Schizosaccharomyces pombe: one gene and its partner. The protein of the gene in region 2 interacts with the protein of the main gene of each other region in a pairwise test. Each region holds a gene or a part of one and is shown on either strand. Other genes may lie near its edges.

Region 1 (3,593 bases), on a different chromosome or scaffold from region 2:
GTACTCTTCCAAAACCCGACACTGAGGCTGAGATCATTCAGCCGGTTTTTATTCATCCTAATGCTATTGTTAGCAAAGGTGCAAAGATTGGACCCAATGTTTCAATTGGTGCTCGTGTTCGCATCGAGGATGGCGCACGTATTCGAAACTCAATTATTCAAGAGGATTGCGAAATTTCTGCCAATGCTGTTGTTTTACATTCCATTCTTTCCCGCCATTGCAAGATTGGTAAATGGTCTCGAGTCGAAGGTTCTCCAACTCTTCCAAGCCAGCACTCCACTACGATTATGCGTAACAGCGTTAAAGTCCAAGCTATTACTGTTATGGGCGCCGATTGTATAGTCCATGATGAAGTACGCGTTCAAAATTGCCTTGTACTTCCTCATAAAGAAATAAAGGTTGGTTTGGTTGGTGAGATTGTGATGTAAGATACTACATTTAACCTTGCAGCAAACTTGCTTTTTATTATATCTACTTGACTCTCCTTTATTATATAATATACATTTATTAGCTGATGCAGAATGCAGATTGTTAAATGATTAAGATGCGTCTTGACAGACCAGTTAAATGACATTAAGTATTATTCTAGAAAAAATCCTGAATTTAATTGTTATTAGTGATTTGTTTTATTACTGTCAATAAGCATCTTCTGCAACGTAAGACTCTGCGGGATCAATATCATTGAAATCAATGTTTTTAGAAGCCTCGTTATGCATTGATATTTGCCAATCTGGAAGGGAGGCAGTACCAACCTTTTTAGTTTGAAAACCTTCTGAAGTATCTAAAGGATTCTCTAATACTGGTATCGAAGAGTTTGATGTGGTAGCGAAAGTGTCGTCTTTTTTTGAATCAGTTTGTAAACATCGTAGAGAGCTAATTTCTCTCGAAAGGTTTTGTAATGCTTCTTCTTGAGATTTCTTAATTTGCTCAAGACTTTGTGGTAAAGTAATAGTACTCATGGTATATACATCTTGTGAGATTCTAGCTATTTCACGATCTCGGTTTTCGGACGTACGCTTCAAAGTATTCAACGTCTCTTCTAAATCATCTAACGCAATGTCCAATTCATCTTGCTGTTTTTCAGTTCTCTCGGAAAGCTTTCTTGTTTGTTCATCTAAATTTTCGAGTATTTTATGAGCTTCTAGAAATTTAGCATCCAAAGCGTTTTTATCAGCTTCATAAGCGTTTTGAGATGGTGCGCGAAACATTGGTGCTATGTATTTCTAAATTTAATTATGTTAAAACAGCACGAATATTTTAAATGTTCAGTTTTTTGAACGTACCTTTACTAATGAATACGCCGACCATGCAAATCCAGTCGAAATAACGCCCATAATAAACCAATCTCTCCAATCTCTTGAAACAAAATTACTAGTGTTTTCAAATCGAGGATAAGAAGGGAATAGCGGATTTTTTGCTAGCTTGAATGCTTCTTGAATTTCTTCGGCAGTTAAACCTTTGGATTTTAGAAATTCAATCTTTTTCACATCAGGAGCATCTAATACAGTTTTTTCTCTTAAAAATTCAACGGAGTTTCTTAACAAATCCTCCCTCATTTTTCAAATTGACAAATGCTTTGTACCGAATTCGCTAGTTAGTAGTTGTATGGAAATAAGCAACTGAAATATATTGAGTAAACTCCGGACTGCAAGATAGTAATTTCACGATAATTCTCTAAACAAGCTTGGAAATGTCGAGGTTTATGTTTTTTTAAGAATGGGATTACACAATTGTTTAATTTGTCAAATTAATTTGTGAAAGTACGCTAATGAATTGTTCTGGTTATATTACGCCGAAAGTTATTAACTGACAAATTAAAGAAAAAATTGTTTCTTATTGTTTGGTGGTTTAATACAGTGTTAAATAAAAAAATTATTTTTCGAAAGTTCAATAGAAGGAACAAAATATTGACAAAACAAGTAAGCACATGATATATATGTAATTATGGTATCAATCATTCCTAAGCCCTAAAAACAATTTCTATTTTATTAAAAATAACCATATTTACATTATCTAGAAGGCCTAACCTGTCTAACATTGAAGTTCACTCGCTTTCTTGAAATCCATCCATCCCAAGCCTTGTTTCCAGTCAATAGGTAATTAGGCGTAGAGTTGGGTATAATCTTAGGAACAGCTGCGGTAAGTTAGTAAGCAATCAATTGACTATAAATGAGGTATTTGAATGAACAATGCTTACCATGGAAAGCCTTTCTAGAAGTTCCAGTCATAATTACAACGTCTCCACTGTGTAAACGTAAAGCTGAAGGCTTTTCCGACCTCGACTCGGTACCGATCAAATATATGCAATCCAAACCCATTGAGAGAGAAATTAATGGAAGTGTCAAATCCTCTTCAGATTCATCGATATGTGCACTCAATGTGTCACCAGGAGAATAAAAATTTACGATTGCAGCTTCAGCTTTCCAATGTAAAAAATCTGTGCTCTCTTTAACAACCTTTTCAACAAAGTCACCTAAATCTTTGGGAAACCCAGGAGATTTGGAAGGATCAGGATACTCCTTCGTCGTCCAGTCATACTGTTCACCTAGTGTAACCCATCGAAGCTTTTTATGAACTAGTCTGTCAACCGTCAAAGGCTTAGTTTCTCCAAGGCCGTCAATGATACTTTCTCCATCACCATTGTAATATCTGCGCCATATGCTATCATTACCTAATGGTAGTTGATAAAATGGTGAAAGGTTGGTCTTGTTTTCAGGATCTTGAATTTGCGTAAACATTATAGATTTTAACAGCTGCATTTGCAGTTCCGATGAAACATAGTTTTTAAGAATTAATAATCCAGGAGCTTTTTGAAAAGAAAAAACTCTAGGTTTAATTTCAACTAAAGCTTCAAATCCAAAAGACTGGGGATCATTAGGATCAAGGACCTCAGACATGTCAGGAATTGTGTCGGCACGACATTTATAGCGTTTTTCTTCTAAACGAAAAACATTCGCCTGTTCCATGTTTCCCGCTAGCATTTCAATAAACTAACTTTATGTGGAGAAATCGACAGATCATTTAATAGAGACTGAATGAAAAAGTTTAGGCCACTTGCAAGGTTTTTCTCCCAGACAGTCATAGATAATTAAATACAGTAAGAACCATAGTACAACTTAATTCAATTTTTACCATAATGCGTAATATTTATTACCTTTACATCTTTTATACATATTCTCAATTAATATACTTTGGCATATTTTAAATGCGAAGTTCTTAAATACGCTTTAAATGGTTAACCCTTTTAAAGCAGCAAGACCCAACAATACTATTCATTTTACCGAAAAGTGGTATTTTATCATACAAAAAATAGAAGAAACAGGCAAACATTCGAAGTTGTTAAAGAATAGAACACTTTTATACGTAACTACAAATTGAGTTATAATCACTGCCAAAATTCCCTATAAAACAATTCGTATAAACACAGTGTCGTGAATGAAAAAAATAAGAAGATTTTACTTTTAATAAAGTGATGGGATCAGTTTAAGACTTGAATGAGATGAAATGTTTTTTATAGTAATTTATTCATTTACGTAGGTCCAATAGAAAATATACCGATGTCAATCGATTTTGTTTTTAAACTCGCAGTCTGA
Region 2 (3,758 bases):
CCAATTAACTACCTATGTGAGAGTATGCGTGAGAGACATACTATGATTAAGTATGGATAAAACGAAATTTCTCTCTTTACCATCCATGAGTCCAACTTTTCAAATTAGATCAAAGCTAGGTAACATGTACCTCGCAGGAGTGAAATCACGGTGTTGATCAAAAAGCAAGAAGCAATTTAAAAGCACTGGTTATTAAAGCATCTAATTTCTCAATTTCATTCTCACTCAACCGCCTATCCCAAAAATACAACTCAATTCCAATGGATGTATGTCTTTTCCAGACCGCGTTGTCTACACTGCGTGAAAAAAAGGAATAATGAGGAATATTGTGTCCCTATATGCAAATGCAATAGCCTTCTCAATGTACAATACGAAAATGTAATATATATTTTGTTATTTATTTTACCAAAGTTCTTTTGACTTTCGTTAAAAAGTATACTGAAAGAGAAAGAGCTAATAAATTGGCTAAGCAAGCAATGTGCACAACCGTTCTATTTAGATAAGCTGACCTACGTAATGCACATGGCGAATGCTATATAAACCAGCCTTTTCCCCTTTGCGCTCAATTCCTTCTTATCTGTACTACATAAGCTTGTTCATTTTTTGACAATTAAGTGAATTTTAAGTACAGCTAAAAAATCTGAAACGCTACTTTCCTTGTTTTTTTCGCCTTCGTTATTTCGCCATGAGTCAAAAGTCGTATATCGTTCAATTGAAAGATTCTGTTGATCCTGCATCGATGGATAAAATAAAATCTGATTTAGAGGCATCTGGTGCTAAAATTGGTCATACTTATGATACCGTATTTAAGGGATTCAGCGTTTCTCTTCCTGAGAATGCAGTAGATGCTTTGTCTGCTCATCCTGAAATTCAACATTTTGAGCCTGACCAAGAGATGCATACTATGAAGAAGGATTAGATTTCTCTCCTTACAGAAAGTTTCGCCTCCATATCAATTGCTTATAGTTGAGCTCGTCACTCGTCGCACGCATGCGTTTCTACACTCAAGTACTTTATGACATTTCATATACATCGTTATGATCAAACAAATACCAATTGTTAATTTGATGATTTTTTTTAGAATTAATTAGTAGGTCGGTCGCGTTTTACCATTTCTTTGTGTCGACCAATTCGACCGTAAAATAGTACACACATTTTTGTAATGTCTTAGTAATATTCGCTTCCCAGTAGTAACTTCCATAAAGATCTAGTTGTTTGGACGAGGAGAGGAATATTGGTACAGCAGTGGGAAATCGAGTAAAGGATTCAAGGTGAAAATAAATAAATAAAGAAAAAGAGAAGCAATTCTTAGAAGGGGGTATACATGAGTATGTTTTAGGTAGAACTGAGATGTTTAACATAGACTACCTTCTTTGTGAGTTGTTGTTTGGCCATCACATTGGTGACAAATATGCTGAAATTTCGAAAAACATGGATTTGTATTTAACAACGAGGCGTAGCAGAAAACCGTAAATTTTTAAAATACAGCTTTTGGAAATTGCTCTTCCATGACTTTTTATTACAGTTGTACTATAAGAATGAATGATTGCACAACAAAATATACTCTCCTATATTTCCTGCCTCACATCAAACATTTAAAGAACAACAGCGAACTCTCGCTATTAGAGTCTGCGATGTTGCGTTCTGTCAAATAATGATATTTATCGTCTCGTTAATTATTAGTTACTGGAATAGTATGATATCGTAAAGTTGACCATTTGCAATGCACTCAGTAACTCTTTTTTTAGTAGGAGTCAATTGTGCGGCATTTGGCAAGTTGAATGGGAGACGTTGCAAGGTTTACTAATTTATTTAAAAATTAATTAATTCGAAAATCAACTGACGACAACCCTTACTTTGGTTTCTTTCACTCTTACTTTGAGTTTTTTAATTGTTATTTTGCGCGGTTAATATTCACAACCTCGTAGATTTTTTGAGATAATTTGCGAACGCGTTTTAGTCTTTCTTTATTTAATGAGTGTACAATGGACATATCCATCAATGACTGCACTGATATCTCGCAAATTAAACAACGGTTTCATGACTTACAAGTCGAATCCCAACGAACCGACGAAAAGCTGGAAAGGCTGCTAAGCGATGCACAGCCGACTGAGAAGTTCAATTCTTTAATCAAGAATATGGCAGAACGTCTAGTGCTGTTTGTAGGTCAGATTGAAGAGCTTAAAGATGCTTTTTGCAATACCACTATCGTTAGCGAGGAGGTCATTGAGAGAATCAAATCGGTCGATAGAGAACAGAATCGTATAAAAGAGTGTCTTTTATTTGTTCGTCAAGTCCGAGATTTCAAAGAATGTTTGCAGGATCTCAACAGAGCTATGCATCACCAACAATGGGAAAAAGCAGCTGATTTAGTACATCGAGCAAGCTCCACATCGCCGGCTATCATCGAAGGGAAATTTGCACATGCCGTTGTTCCCACAGCTGAGCAACCTTTAGCGCCCATGGACACCTTAAAAGAAATCACCGAATCTCTACACACTCTCTTTTGGCGGGAATTCCATAAGGCCGCCCGAAATCAGGATCAAAAAGAAATCACTCGTTACTTCAAACTCTTCCCTTTGATCGGCAAAGAAAAGGAAGGATTAGAAGCTTATTGGCATTTTTTTGGTGGAATTATTGCTTCTAAAGCTAGGGCCACTCTCGATGAGCCCCCTACTCATGCTCTTTTTTTTGCACAGGCATTTACCGGACTGGTCGAGCATGTTGCTTCTATCATACGCGCACATACGCCTCTTGTTCAAAAATATTACAAGGCCAAAAACACCATCACCGTTATTGAAAAATTGCAAGGTGATTGTGATCGCCAAGGTTCCATTATCGTGAATACCATGTTTGACGTGAGAAGAATTGATAACCTCGTAAGCTCTATAGCTTCTTACAAATACATTTTGTTACATGCGAAGTTGAAAAATCGTGCCTTTGTTTCGGATCAAAAGGAATTAGAAAGGGTCTCTCTTCAAACGCTACATCCGATTTTGAATGAAATGTCAGCCATTGTCTCCAAATGGAATATCTCAAAAATATTTATTAGCCGTCTTGTCCTTCGATTGTCCCAATCTGATGGTACTTCGAATGATCCATCTGTCCAGGACAATCTTATTTGTGCATCTATTTTCAATTCTTCAAAGATGGAACTTCTGTTAAAAAAGCAACTTCTTCCATCCTTATTACAATTAGAAACATACTATTTCAGGAGAAGTATAGAAACGTCTTTGGAACTTGAGGAATATTACACAAAGGTTTCCCCATGGATGAGCTCTATTGTAGACGATGTCATGTACGTTACGAAGCAAGTATTCCAACGTGCGTTTTTTACAGTCTCCTCTTTATTCTTCACCAGATTTGTTAACGAAAGCTTAATCCCTATTTTAAGAAATGATTACTATGTCTACCTTTCCCATAATCTTTTAACTGTCTGTAACATTATAAAAGCTCAGTTCCAGAGGCTAAAGAATGCAAATAGCATTCCCGCCAAACAAGTCGAAAACTACATAACATTGGTAAATAGTGCTTCACTCAGCAAGCAATATCTAAAATCAATTGTGGATGGTGTTTCTAGTCGGTTGGAAGAAGTTTTTGCCTTTGCCAAAGACCAAAAATTGGTAAAGAAATCGATTGATAATTTTTTGCAGCTAACCGTTAATTTTGAAAATCTTTGCAAGACTTCTTTCAACATGTACTTTCCGATATTTTTATTACCCCGAATTGAGCAATGCATCGATGATTCCTTTGATGGA

Evidence for each region. Proteins that work in one complex are often made in the same cells at the same time.
Region 1: the proteins of cog4 (region 2) and pex14 interact in a two-hybrid assay, tested with the Schizosaccharomyces pombe proteins (2 studies listed by BioGRID).

The regions. Positions count from the first base shown.
Region 1 is NC_003423.3:3,730,797-3,734,389, forward strand, and holds pex14 (protein Pex14), read right to left. Parts: upstream 1,604-3,593; 5' UTR 1,557-1,603; coding exon 1,284-1,556; exon of another isoform or gene 1,224-1,283; coding exon 636-1,223; 3' UTR 501-635; downstream 1-500. Other genes in the region: mpg2 (mannose-1-phosphate guanyltransferase), read left to right, coding at 1-428; abh1 (alpha-ketoglutarate-dependent dioxygenase), read right to left, coding at 2,010-2,134, 2,198-2,966. UniProt on the Schizosaccharomyces pombe protein: Component of the PEX13-PEX14 docking complex, a translocon channel that specifically mediates the import of peroxisomal cargo proteins bound to PEX5 receptor.
Region 2 is NC_003421.2:1,352,437-1,356,194, reverse strand, and holds the start of cog4 (COG complex subunit Cog4), read left to right. Parts: upstream 1-1,749; 5' UTR 1,750-1,985; coding exon 1,986-3,758. Other genes in the region: proteinase B inhibitor Pbi2, read left to right, coding at 686-919. UniProt on the Schizosaccharomyces pombe protein: Component of the peripheral membrane COG complex that is involved in intra-Golgi protein trafficking. COG is located at the cis-Golgi, and regulates tethering of retrograde intra-Golgi vesicles and possibly a number of other membrane trafficking events.